2 linked regions of the Astyanax mexicanus genome follow. The protein of the gene in region 1 interacts with the protein of each later gene in a pairwise test. Links are inferred from orthologs where the notes say so. Each region holds a gene or a part of one and is shown on either strand. Other genes may lie near its edges.

Evidence for each region.
Region 2: the proteins of spdl1 (region 1) and ca8 interact in binary tests that used the Homo sapiens proteins (3 or more experiments, as listed by UniProt). The two-hybrid records come from large-scale screens. The link is inferred for Astyanax mexicanus from reciprocal best matches to the Homo sapiens genes SPDL1 and CA8.

Annotation. Positions count from the first base shown.
Region 1 is NC_064417.1:53,769,926-53,777,554, reverse strand, and holds the start of spdl1 (protein Spindly), read left to right. Parts: upstream 1-4,517; 5' UTR 4,518-4,637; intron 4,638-6,115; coding exon 6,116-6,280; intron 6,281-6,637; coding exon 6,638-6,814; intron 6,815-7,629. UniProt on the Homo sapiens protein: Required for the localization of dynein and dynactin to the mitotic kintochore.
Region 2 is NC_064425.1:41,311,482-41,319,259, reverse strand, and holds the start of ca8 (carbonic anhydrase-related protein), read left to right. Parts: upstream 1-4,664; 5' UTR 4,665-5,137; coding exon 5,138-5,210; intron 5,211-7,778. UniProt on the Homo sapiens protein: Does not have a carbonic anhydrase catalytic activity.

The sequences.
Region 1 (7,629 bases):
ATTTATTAAAGCTCCTTTAAATAATTCCTTAAGTGTTAGACAAAGCCCCTTAACAGTATATTCCCTTAGAATAATTAACTATTTAATTTATTATTTAACTTTCAAATATTGATTTTTTTGTCGCTTTTAAGCAATTCCCATATAAAATAGAATTTCTCAATTCTGATGCACAATACATCACTGAGATTCATGTTGCTGCTAATTTTGCTATTTATGTTTTATTATTTATTTTATATTCTATTTTTCGTTTTATTGTATTCTTAGATAATAATTGACCACATGTGATGTGAATGGCAATAAAGTCTCCTTAAATCCTTGGAAACCATTTGTTCACCTTGAGCAACATCTAGTCTGTTTTGCTCTTATTCCTTTAATAGCAAAATGCTTTGCCACAACCCAGCAAATGATTCAGTACAACTGTCCGCTGTTTCTCAATTTATCAATCACTTTTTGTCTTTAGATTAATATATTTATTTTAATTTACTGAACTCTACTAATCTCCAAAACATCCAACCATTAGTTCACTTTATACATCCTTACAGAAACATGAGTTAAACCTGCCCTCAAGAGCTGTAAAACAGACTTTTCTGGGAAATATCTCCTGAACTAATAAAATAAGGGCCACATATTACCAATCATGAGAGTACAACAGCAGGGGCTGCTCAAAGGATGCAGCCAATTGTTGAAAAAAATCAATAATTCAAACGTTATATAGAGAGAACAGATGTGTAATGTAATCTAAGAGTTTAGTGTCTGATTTCAAAAAACACCTTAAGGGATTTTTTTTCGTTAAGATTGCCCTTAAAGATCCCTTAACTGTGTTGCAGGAAAAAATATAATCTAAGAGCTTTTTTAAATAAAATCTTCATTAACACTAAAACATAAAATAATCTAAATAAAACTATTAAAAAGTTGTGTTTTAAACAAAAATCAGTCTATTACAAAACTAGCATTTGCTAGGACATTTCCAGTAACAATTTTTTGAAGAAGAAGCGATTGATTTTTAAAGAAAACATATTTATGTTTGCTATACTATATTTGCTGTAGCTTACTACAGTAGGGTAAAAAAAAAAAAACATTTAATCACTTTTAACTATAGATGATAAAATAATGATATCGGAATGTATCGGCAGACATTTGCTTTAAAATCCACTGATTTCAGCTAAATTTTCATTTATTTTTATTAGTTACAACAGATATATTGTTTTATTTAACCTGTTAATTTTGTGATCAGTCTCTGTTAGTGTGTCAGTGTCAGGTTTTTGTCAGACAGAGAGATGGAAACCCTAACAGAACTCATTTTAGCAGACTTTAAACAGACTACACTAAAATGCAACTAAATTACCCTGTAGTTGACAAAACATGGTTTTATTAACAAAAAACTAAATCAAGTAATATATAATAAAAAAAAGTATAGGATTTTCCTGTTACCAACATACAGATCCGTGTTTTAAAATCCATATTTTGAACTGATTTAACTAAAAAAACGAAGAAGCACATGACAAAGGGTAAGTGTAATAAATATGATTTACATTTTGTGATTGTTTAAAGCTAAATTTGAAAATAGAGAATGTTTTTTTCTAATGTTTTGGTTTTTAATGTTTTCTGATTTTTTCCATTTTTTCTTTTTGTAAAAAACATTTTTTTTTAAAATAACATTTAAATCCAATCTGTGAAAACCATGGTAACATCTTTCTGTGTTACAGATTTTACTGGCAGAAATGTATGTTTTTATGTCATAGCATTTTGTAGAAGAATATTTAGTTTCCCACTGTTCCCTGTTGAAACTCTAACCAGCACTTGTTCAAGTAATAAAATATATTGTCTCTAACTGAGCCCTTTATAAAAAATGTACCAGTAATCTTTATTGATATTTGATTAAAAATCTGTTAATTTATTTTGTTATTTATTTGAACAGCTTAACCCTCTATGGCATACATTAAATTAAATATAGTTTCTATTGATATATCAAATATACATTGCTATTTTGACTTTTTATAACAAACTGATGATTTGGATCAGATGTTTTAGAGCAAGAAGGCTCCAAAAAACATAATGTTGCCCAAAGACAATGATGAGTTTACAACAAAAATATAGTAAAAATATAGACAGCTAAATATACTTCTTGACATATTCTTGCACATATACATATATTTTACTTGTGACCCACTTGTGCATCTCATTGTATGGTATTGGACAGCTTTAACAACTAAAAAAACAACTAAAAGGTACTTTATGGACTTTTAGACTGATCTTTTTTCTTTCACTTAAAATAAAACATCTTAAAATAGTGAATAAAATAACAGGAACTCAATGCTGTTTTAGTTTTTTTGGAAAAAGGTGAAAATTCCACCTACAGTATATATTATGTTGTGTTCTGACCTGCAGTTCTCTTTATGCAGGTTTATTATATTTATCTTGTCTGTTTTTTTTTAACTTTGAGATGTTAAGTTGTTTATTTGTTATAAGTTACAGCATTAAATATTGTTTTATTATACTGTAGAACCTTATATTGGTGGTTTATTGATGTAGATACACTTATTTGATGAACTTTTCTTTGTTTTCCTGAATTAAACTCTAGCACAGAGTTTTTAATCACACTTATCTTCAGAACCATCGACACCGGGACCGGCCCATTCACCCCCCCTCCTCTGTATGCTCCTCTTTAGCATTACAGTAGATACAGATCTTTATATCAGTTCTGATGTAAATGCAGTGACACTGTGGACGGGCAGCACTTCACCCGCTGTTTAATCCCAGGGTGTGAGGACTGTTGTTATGCAGATCTGACCAATCAGAGAGTGTCTCACCCTCTGAGAGTTAAACACATGCTAAACTTCAGAGTGATCTACCTGTGATACCTGCATCTCTAATCACTCAGTCCTGCGTTAAACTAATCATTCAGACCGACTGAAGCACAGAACTTTAATTTAATTTTTTTTTTAATTTTCTGATTTATATTTGTATTAATAGCCCTAAATAACGATGTCACTATATTTCAGGGTATTTTTGTGTTAACGGTATTCTTGGTGATATGACAGATTTTTTTTATTAATAGTTCTAAGAATATACTACAGCATAAATAAATAAATACATATTACAACTTTATTTAGTAATTAATTTAATACATTCAGAACAAACAAAAAAAAAACGGTCTATTTTTTAAACTGTCTATTTTTAAGAAATGAACAGTAAAATAATAAAAATGAAACAAAAGTAAAAATAATGTAATAATGTAAACACAGAGAACAAACCTGCAGCACAGTTAGTGATACATATAAACTGCCACCCAAATGAAAAATGAAATACAGTAAATAATAAAACAAATACAAATTATCACCATATTGATTTTTTTATTGTTTCAATTGTTTTTCCTGTATTATGGCAAACCCCCTGCATTCAAGCCTGTCTGGTCAATACTATCTGAAACAGAAACTGATTTAGATTAATTAGTAAGTAAGTAATTCATTTTTATTTAGACCTTGTAATAAATGTATTAAAATAAAATACACCAAATAGTAAGATTGAAGATGTAGGTGTTTTGTTGTTATGTGTACAGTAAACAGGCAGTTACAGTTACTCCACATATACACAATTAATTATAGAAATATAGTAATATTCATAGTTAAGTAGTTATACAGAATGGGCAACATGGCAGTAATATAGCTTTTTAAGCTGTAAATGAAGAAAGAAGTAAAGTTTAAAACAACAAACTGACTGGATATGACATACACAATATTAATATATATTAATACCTATAAAATAGTCTAAGATTTATATCAGTAAAACTTTTATTTATAAAATATACAGCTCTGGAAAAATGGCCACTTAAAAATAATGAGTTTCCTTACTGAAAACCTCTGGAATATAATCAAGAGGAAGATGGATGATCACAAACCATCAAACCACCAAACTGAACTGCTTGAATTTCTGCACCAGGAGTAAAGCAGCATAAAGTTATCCAAAAGCAGTGTGTAAGACTGGTGGAGGAGGAGAACATGATGCCAAGATGCATGCAAACTGATTAAAAACCAGGGTTATTCCACCAAATATTGATTATTTCTGAACTTTTAAAACTTTATGAATATGAACTTGTTTTTTTTTTGCATTATTTGAACTCTGCATTTTTTTTGTTATTTCAGTCATTTCTCGTTTTCTGCATATAAATGCTCAATTTAAATAAATTACAATATTTTTATTTGGGATTTGGGAGAAATGTTGTCTGTAGTTTATAGAATAAAACAACAATGTTCATTTCACTCAAACATAAACCTATAAATAGTAAAATCAGAGAAACTGATTCAGAAACTGAAGTGATCTCAATTTTTTTTTCAGAGCTGTGTATAATATTATGCCCTAAACTGCAGTTCTGTATATGCAGATATATCTGCCTGTACATACATGTATATTTAATATGTATATCAATATTATTTTCTTTTTCTATTGTATGTAAACTAAAGAGAACTACACAATTAAAGTAAATAATAAATAAAACAGTTTTATGTTGTAATGAGAGAGGTATTAGTATTATAGAGGCTGGGAGTAGGGGGCGCTGAAGCTGCGCGCTGAGGAGAGCTAAACCCGCAGAAGAAGAGTTTAAACGGTTTGGCTCCGGGCGGGGAGCTGCGGAATTAAAGGTAAATAAATTTATAAAAACAGAATGTATTTCTATATTTACCTCCTAATTCACTTAATAACAGTTACCTCAGGTAAATATATGCTATAGAACCGGTCGGGTTATTCGGTAACGGTACAAAAACCAGCTAAACTAGACTAAACTAGTTATTTAGCCCGGCTAAAGCTAACCAGCTAACTAACCCGGTCTCTCAGAACTAGTAAATTAGCTAACAGAACCTAAGAACAACTATTAGCTTTAGCCTGGATACTGGTGTTTATTAACAGAGTTTAGCTACACAGTTCTCTAGGTTTAGCCCTTAAATCATTAAATTAAAAAGTGTAAAGAATTGAAAATGTGAACAGTATATTTAATCTACGTTCTAATTTTCTTTTACATTGATTTTTATGCTTATTATTGTTGTGTATTATTGTGCTTTATTGTGTAAGTTAAGTTCTACTGCCTGCTAAATTTCCTTTAGGATCAATAAAAAAGATGGTCTGTCTGTCTCTTTGTTTTTGCCTGACTGTCTTTCTGTATGTCTGTCAATTTATGTACGGTATCTAGTTTTCTGCCTATTTATCGGTTAGGGCTGGGTGATATTGTATGAAAAATAACTCTATATGATTTATTTTTTATAACTTTTATAACAACCAGTTGTTTTATTTGTGAACAGTGAACACCATTTACATGTTTACATTTTATGTTTTTAATGAATAGTAATCAGCACCTTTAACATTTTGCAGCTTTTATATTAAACACAATGTAAACATAACCTCCTTATATTTTACTTACATAATAGGTAAAGTCTAAATTAAGTAAATCAGTGTTTTCTGACTGAAAATAATCCTCTGTCCACTTAGATTCTCAATGCAGCTTCCATATGATGCAGCTTCCATATGTAAAGATGTACATATTGGTCATCTCCATTATATCATTTTGAAAATTGAAATAAAACAGTAATTTTAATCTTCGTTTAAATGCCAATTTTGGACAAAACTTATGAATTCTTAGTGTAGTGTAAACACTATAAACAATGGTCAATTGAGTGTTCCTTGTACAATTAAAAAATTTATCCTCTAAAATAATTTCTTTTTTTTCATATCTAACAAAAACTGTAACTGAAATATCCATGAATATCAAATTAATTCAGGAATTGATGTATGATATATGAACAGTACAATTTAGCATAATAACTGAATTGAAAAATGTGCTTAAACAATTGTAATAATATTTATAGGTATAATACTGTACAGCGGTTAATGATATAGCGGTCTATTGATCAATGCTGTCAGAATTGATTCATCTCTCAACCAACATTTAAACAACTAGTTCCAGTCTAAATATGTATACTGTACGGCTCAGCAATAACTGTGAAATTAGAATTAATGGTTGCTGCCTGTGTGTGTAGCGAAATGTTTTTTAGGAGGAAATAATGTTAAATAAAATGAATGAAAGTTAAAATAACGTGTATTAATTGCTGTTATTTTCTGTGTAAAGATGTCGTTTGCAGAGAGTGAGATTCTGGCGTTGAGGCAGAAGGTGGACGAGTCGGAGCAGGCTCTTCAGAAAGCAGCGCAGTATGGACTTCAGCTCCTGGATGATAAAATGGATCTCCAGAATAAACTGGAGGAGCAGCGAGTAGAAATGACGGCTGTAATAGAGGTCAGTTTTACACTTGATCAACTATATAAATTGTCGATGTGGGTAATGGGCTCACACACTCTGCTCGTTCTCTGTGTATTTAACAATGTAAACAAACCAGATAAGGGACAAGACAACAGCCATACTCACTGTGCATCATCTCATTATACATTTAAACACGATCTCAGCATTTAAATCACACATTTAGTGGCTTTTGCTGATTCTCTAGTAGAATTTAAATTCAGTACTATTCTTAGATCAGTCAAAGTTAAAGGCTGCATGCAAATAAAGATAAATTAGTGTTAATTACAAAATATACTGATTAGAAATTAGAGAATATTTTACAGCTGTGCTTGATTATATGTGTTTGTTTTACAGGGTCTGGAGCAAGAGAAATACTCCCTGCAGAGAGAAGTAGAGCTGAAGGTCCGAATGCTGGACAGCCTTCATTCAGAATTCGATTATTTTAAAAACCAGCAGAAGCAAACAATAGAGCTGCAGCAAGCAGAGCTGGAGAGGAACCATGTGGTGGAACTCACAGACGTCAAGAACAAGGTCAGCCCTAAATACAGTAAACAGGGTTTTACATATATATATATATATATATATATATATATATATATATATATATATATATATATATATATATATATAGTCCCAGAAATTATTGCAATAAACAATATTATTATTATTTTAAGATAATTAAATGCCACTGGCTAAATACAAATAGGACAGCATAACAAAGCATGTATGCACTTTAAACGGCAACAACATTAATCATAGTTTGTGAAATATATAATTTATTCTTCATCTACTGTAGTCACTGCACACTGTGTGTATGAAGTGTATGAAGTCACAGTTACTGAAGCACTGATTGGTCATTTACCATATTTTTCATGGGTTTACCGTGTTAAAACAAGCTATGTGGTACGAACTGCTTGCTAATATCGCCCTGACTTCCTCAGTGTAGCGCTGTTAGGCTAGCAGTTAGCCGCTAATGCTAATGCTCCAGCCTTAGTGCTGGAGAAATTTGGGAATCTAAGCTTACTGTAAATAAACAGTAGCACTTTACTCACCCAAATAAGGAGAGATTTTTAGGAGAGAAATATGTGTAGATTAACATCCATAATATAAAAATATGGTAGCAAAACTGGCTAAAATATTTTTCACTGTTATATATGTGAACAGACATATAAATAAACACAATAGACCTGGGGGGTATTCCAGAAAGCAGGTTAAGTGACAAAACCGGGTAAGTAAACTCAGAGTTAACGGAAACTCAGAGTTTTCCGTTCCAGAAACTTAGCTTAGAGAGAACCTGAGTCAGTTACTATAGCAACTTACGCTCTGAAGCTAACCTGCTCGCTGGC
Region 2 (7,778 bases), on another chromosome or scaffold:
CTGTTGGGATGCTCAAATTTATGCACCTGCCTAATTTAGTTTAATTAATTAATTATTGCACACTTTCTGTAAATCCTATAAACTTCATTTCACTTCTCAAATATCACTGTGTTCATCTGCTGTATGATATATTTAACTGAAATAGCTGATCCAAACAACCAATGATTTATAAAGAAAAATCATAAAAATGATCAGGGGTGCCCAGACTTTTTCATACCACTGTATATGTCCATTGAATATTAATGTATTTTAGTACAATGCAAATATATTACAGAAGCTAAGGTGGGTGATTTCGATTTTGCTGGAGTTTTTCACAATATCACCAACTTCTGTCAGACAAATAGGACAGAAAACATTCTAAAGGGGTGCCTTGAATACCAACACCTCTCTAACTGAGAGATAAGGATGATGTGGTTCATTGTTTCAAAAGCAGTGTGTGTGTGTGATTTAACCCATACTTCAGCATTGAAATTTTATTTCACAAGATTTTATATCACAGTATACTTGGTCGATACAGTACAGTTAGGCGCATACATATTTGTACAGTGAGACAATGACAATTTGTGATTTTGGCCTGCATTCCATCACACTGGATTTAAAATAAAACAAATGATATGCAAGATGCAAGTCAAATATTGAAAATGTGTTGAAAATGAATATCACATTTTTTAAATATTGTGTCACAATTATTATTGCTATAGAAATGAGCCCTGTTTAATCCTAAATAAAAAGTAATCTACCTACTGACCTCGGAACAGTACTGACGCTGTGTTTACATGGCTGAATGAAACCGATTATACATTACCAGGCTTTGTTAATGTGTTTTATGTATTGTTGTCATGTGATTAATGTATTAATAATGAATGTGTTTAATTTTACAGATTAATTGTGTGTTAACTTGTTAACCTTGACAGCACTAGTTCATAGATAGATAGATAGATAGATACTTTATTGATCCCCAAGGGGAAATTCTAGGCATCCAGCAGCAGGTATGTATAGTACACAAAGTTACAAAAAGATAAAATATAACGATACATATAAATACAATGAAATAAAAAAATTAAATGAAAAGTATAAAAGTACAGTCTTGTGTGTGTGTGTGTGTGTGTAATGGAGGTAGTGCAGTTGAACACAATATACAGTGAACACCAGCTGATGTGCATAAAGTGAGGATAACTGATGTCAGCCATACAGAAAGTGCAAATACACAGTTATATAATAATTAAAATTTAGCAGTGCGACAGATACGTAAACAGTAGATGAATGAACTTGTGAATGAACTACTAGTGCAAAATAGTGTTATAGGTATCAGCAAGACTGAGAGTGTGTCCATAGATGGGGGTGTGTAGACACTCATCATAATGAATGTGAAGTGTTCTGAGAGTAAATGTGTGTTATTAATAGTGATCAGGTTTTTAATGCATGTTTTTATTAATATGTATAAAATCACTCCTTTAAAAGCTGTGCTGTGTTTTATATTGTCCACTAGAGGCCAGCGCTGCACCTTCAGACAGATCCTATTCCTTTCACTTCTTTCACCTTTAAATATATACAAAAGTGTAATTACATGTACTTATGTTATATACACACTTATTATATGTTGTACCAGTGAGACCAAGTTGCTTCACCAGCATGGGCATATATATGAATCATTTCTACATTTTTGCAAATTTGTTATTCTTACTTTTTATTTTTAATTTAGACAGTTATGTTTATTTTATATTATATTTATTTAAATATATTTATACACTTATATGTCTTCATATACACTTATAATGCTTTATATATGAAGGCTTTAAAGAGAACTGATTTGATGATTTGATTATTGATATGGGATTATTAATTGGAAGTACTCTCTCTGTTTCTCTCTCTCTCTCTCTCTCTCTCTCTCTCTATATATATATATATATATATATGTGTGTATTATATTTATATTTGTCATATATATATATACCACAAATTTACATTGTAAATTTAATATTGACGTCTATATTAAAGCTCTACAGGAACACATGCAGCATTTTTCTGTAAAAAGTGTTAAACAAATCAGAATATGTTCTTACAAGTAGCACATTTATATTTAAGGACAGATCTGCACACTCTTGGTGTGATTTTAATCTCAGTGTATTCATGAGGGAGAGTCACCTGAAATATTTTTCTCAGCGTCTTGAAAGAAGGAGTTTCTGGAGGTGCTGAACAATAGCTGCTGCTTTTTCTTCACGCTGTGAAGCTCCAGCTCATCCCACTTAAATCACCTCAAATTATCATCTCAGTTCATCAGCTTTAGATCAGGGGATTCATGTGGAGGATAAACGCTTATTTTACTGTTTACCACATAAATCCATATGTGTCCCTTAAATGTTTCCATGTCTTTTTAATTAATCTACAATTTAGAAAATGAGTAAAGGAAAACATTAAATGTAAACTGGTTCTCAACTTTTATATAGCACTATAGATACAGGTATACACATGCGCAAAAGCCATATATTATTTCTGATATTTGAAAGGAGTGCACATTAAGATGTTAGATATGTGGTTGTGATTAGTATGAGTTATCTGAGTGTGATCTCGTGCTGTAGTAAAACTATAACCTTTAGGGAGGAAAACGACCCAATTAACAGCTCATTAGAGAAAGAGGGAAATTACACAATTATGAGTTTTTAATTTTAGTAAATGTGGGTCAGAGGGATTACAGAACACATTGAGCTCAACTGCCCTTTACAATTTCACCTGGGACAATGGGACAACACACACACACACACACACACACACACACACACAAATTCTATTATAATAGCAACTTTCCATCATAGGATCCTGTTATTAACTAAAAGGTCTCTCTGAGATAAAATACATTTTGTCAGTAAATTAAATGCCAATATTAGCAGTATTATCTTGTTAGTGTGTGTGTGCTCATGTGGCAGATCACTGTAACACATGTACAATCAATATTTTAATGCATTTTTACTGAGCTACAAACGCAGTTTAATTAAACAGTAAATTACCTTAACAGTCATTACAGTATTTGACTTTAGATTGTGAAGTTTTTCTTCAATACAAATAATCATGTGAGAATTAGAAATAGAGAAATAGAGGTCCTCTCCCTCTATTCAGTCTCTTTTTATACTGTATAAGGCCTTTCTCTTCATCTCTCTCTCTCTCCCTGTCTCTCTCTCTCTCTCTCTCTCTCTCTCTCTCTCTCTCTCTCTCTCTCAAAAAACAATGTATCTTCTTTTTCTCTTTAAAAAAGTGTGTATCTCTTTCCTCTCTCTCTCTTAGAAGTGTGTATCTCTTTTCTCTAACTCTAAAACTATGTATCTCTCTTCTCTCTCTCCATGCACTGGCAAATAAAAACTTTAAACACTGAAAGTACAAATGTTTATTGTAAAGAATAATTTCAGTATGTTAATGTATTTTATGCCAAAACTTACAATAGAAAAATTGTAATCCTCTGTAATTCACTGACAGTAAATTACTATTGTAGATATCATCGCTGTCCTATGAAAAACACTTATCTCCATTTTTGTTGATTTTTAGTTTACTACATAATTTGACCAGACAAACTGTCCCTTACACTGTGCCAAAATTTCTTGATGAACAGACCAATAGAAACTCTTGAAAAAAAAAACAGAAATAACTCTTTTTAAATTGACTTTCACTGAAAGTTTTCAAGTTTTTTTTCTCTCTCCTGTTAAGTTGCTGTTTTGTAGATAAGTGTTTTTCACTGGACACTCGATGATATACAGTAATATAATTATTTATTGGCAATGTTTTTGCTGTTGACTTACTGTAACATTTACAATAAACATTTTACAGTGTAGTAGTAGTTAATATAGAATTATACAAGGAAATTGTTAACTTTGCTCTGACTTTAAACACTAACACCATTGTGTGTGTAAGTGTGTGTGTGAGTCCAGCATGTGTGGTCAGACTGTTAACAAGGCCAAACTATGAGTCTTTTCTAAGAGATCAGAGACTTATGGGTTTCAGCCAATCAGAATGTGAGCTTCTTTGTGTGTCTTTGACTGTGTGTGTTTTTGTTTGTTTGTGAGTATTTGTGTGTGTGTGTGTGTGTAAAAACTTGCAGAGAAAGAGAGAGAGAGATTTATAGTTTTTAGACAGAAAGAGAGAAGAGATACATTTAGAGAGAGAAAGAAAATATACATAATTTTTAGAGAGAGATAGAGGAGAGATACATGCTTTTGAAAGAGAGATACATAGTTTTGAGAGAAAGAGAGAAGAGAGAGATACACACTTTTTTCAGAGAGAAAGAGAGAAAAGATCAAAAACACTTTAAAGAGAGAGAGAAGAGAGAGATAAACACTTTAGAAAGAGAGAGAGAAGAGAGATACACACTTGTTAGAGACAGAAAGAGAAGAGAGATACACACTTTTTTAGGAAGAGAGAGAGACAGACACTTTGGAGAGAGAGAAAAGAGATAAATACTTTAGAAAGAGAGAGAGATACACACATTTTTAGCGACAGAAAGAGAAGAGAGATACACATTGTTTTATATATATATATAGAGAGAGAGAGACACTTTGGAGAGAGAGAAAAGAGATAAATACTTTAGAAAGAGAGAGAGATACACACATTTTTAGAGACAGAAAGAGAAGAGAGATACACAATTTTTTATATATATATATATAGAGAGAGAGAGAGACACTTTTTGGAGAGAGAGAAAAGAGATACACACTTTAGAAAGAGAGAAGAGAAACATGTTTTAGACAGAGAGAGAAATACAGTATAGGGAGAGAGAATAGAGAGTGTTTGAGCGTCAATGAAAGAGAGAGAGAGAAAGTACAAAGACAGAGAGTGCAAAGGAAGAGAGACAGAAGGAGGTGGGGAGAAAGGAAGAGAGAGAGAGAGAGGCAGGAGGAGTCAGGAGAGGGTGTGTGTGTGTAAAAGAGAGAGAGAGACATCAGTAGAGAGCAGTGGTGTGTGTGAGTGTGTCCTGATCAGACAGTGGGAGTGTGTATAGGTGTGTGTGTGGTGTATTGTGAGGAGACTGTAGCAGTGTGTATGTGAGTGTTTTGTATGGGTGCAGTGTGAGCAGCAGTGGTGCAGCAGATCCCGGGTCAGTTCTGAGAGGGAGGAGAGGGAGAGTTGTGAAAGTTCTGGCTCTGGATCCATCAGCATGGCAGACAGTGTGATCGAGGAGTCCGATTACATCCCGGGAAAAGACGAGCTGGACTGGGGCTATGAGGAAGGTAAGGAATTCATTCAGTGATTCAGCTACACACACACACACACACACACACACACACACACACACATACTGGCTTTTCTCTGGGAGAAACATGAGCTGCACTGTCCCACCCATTAACACACTTCCAGTTTCAGAACAGACTCATTGAACTTTACTGTAAATAATAATCAAATTATCAGTATTTATTATCCACTATAAATCGTTCAATAACTATTACGCTCTATTTAGCATCTGTATCATTATCAGAATTCAGTGCTACCTGGGTTTTAAACATTTTTAAGATTACATAAGGTCATTGATCATATTTATAAGACTTTAGACTAAAGTAATCATATTTTACAGCTTAATCACTTTATATTTTCACTTTTTACTTCCTGTGATGCACAGTAGGTGAAGAGTGACAGGGTGGACAATGACAGGGCAGACAGTAAGGGTGGACATTGATAGTGACAGGGTAGACAATGATGGGGTGGACAGTGACAGGGTGAACAGTGACAGAATATAGACAGTGACAGGGTGTACAATGAGAGGATGAAGAGTGACAGGGTAGACAATGAGAGGACAATGAGAGGGTGGACAGTGAGAAGATGGAGAATGACAGGGTGGACAGTGACAGAGCAGACAATGAGGCTGGACATTGAGAGGATGGAAAGTGACAGGGTGAACAGTGACAGAATGGACAGTCACAGGGTGGACAGTGAGAGAATGAACAGTGACAGAATAGACAGTGACAGGGTGGACAATGAGAGGATGAAGAGTGACAGGGTAGACAATGAGAGGACAACCTGAGGGTGGACAGTGAGAAGTTGGAGAGTGACAGGGTGGACAGTGACAGGGCAGACAATGAGGCTGGACATTGAGAGGATGGAAAGTGACAGGGTGAACAGTGACAGAATAGACAGTGACAGGGTGGACAATGAGAGGATGAGTGACAGGGTAGACAATGAGAGGACAACAAGAGGGTGGACAGTGAGAAGATGGAGAGTGACAGGGTGGACAGTGACAGGGCAGACAATGAGGCTGGACATTGAGAGGATGGAAAGTGACAGGGTGAACAATGAGAGGATGAGTGACAGGGTAGACAATGAGAGCACAACAAGAGGGTGGACAGTGAGAAGATGGAGAGTGACAGGGTGGACAGTGACAGGGTAGACAGTGAGAGGTTGGAAAGTGACAGGGTGGACAGTGACAGTGGACAATGACAGGGCAGACAATAAGGGTGGAAATTGAGAGAATGGATAGTGACAGGGTGGACAATGACAGGGCAGACAATAAGGGTGGACATTGAGAGAATGGATAGTGACAGGGTAGACAATGATGGGGTGGACAGTGACAAGGTGAACTGTGACAGGGTAGACAATGAGAGGACAACGAGAGGATGGACAGTGAGAAGATGGAGAATGACAGGGTGGACAATGAGAGGACCAAGAGTGACAGGGTAGACAATGAGAAATTGGACAAAGAGAGGGTGTACAGTGACAGAATGGACACTGACAGGGTGGACAATGAGAAGGTATACAAACAAAAATCGGAATGCCAAATTGAAATTTGCAAAAAAAAAAAAAAGGAACTGCTTATAATCCAAAGCACACAAGCTCATCTGTGAAGCATGGTGCAGGTAATGTCATGGCTTTGGTGATGAATGCAGCTTCTGGAACAGCAGCACAAATGAAAAATGCAATAGCTTGGTGATGTTTTTGGGTCGCAGGCCTGAGGCAGTCACTGCATGCAAGGGCTTTGCCACCTAGTACTAAATGTTATTTACTTACTACTTAAAGCGGTATTATTTAGTTTCTAAACTGAAAGCAGATGCATTTCTGTGTGGAGAAGAATATGGATAAAATATTGCATTTAATGGTACCAGTGTGCTGAAACAACCATCCCTGCTAAGTCTAATATATTCATTCTAAAAACTGGGGTTTTTAGTTGGGTCGCTTTTCGTGTGAGTTCTTCTTCTTCTTCTGGCCACGTCACATGTTTTTACGTACTTAAATCACACGTACAGCCTCTAAAAGAGGATCTGGCTCAGTTTTTTTACTGATCGCGAGCAACTGGTGGAGCAATGGAGACTTCAGAAGGGGAAACTTGGATTGATCTGCTCTGAAAGGAGCATCACACCCACCCAGTTTAAAATGATTCTTACGCATGTTCGGTGCTATTACCCATTCTCACCAGAGAGGGCCCTAAATCTGCATGTGAGTACCAGGAAATAAAAGCTGACATTCCGAACTTTTGTCTCATGTTCAACTGATCTTTTGATCTTTTGATACAATACTTTTTGTGAGAGAACTGTATATGGTTCTAATGAGCTCAATAACAAAACTGATGACCTGTAAGTTATTATAACCTTAAACCAACAGCAAATAGTCCATACACACTGTTGTTATAGCGCTTTAGTACAATGGACACTTTATTTTTACAGTGCACTGTGTGTGTGTGTGTGTGTGTGTGTGTGTGTTTACTGAGCAGAGCACTAAAAAGAGTGTAATGCTATTTCAAATCTGTGGTCTTTACAGCCTGTGTGTGTGTATGTTGTATGGGTCAGTCCACCGCAGTGTGTGAGTGTGTG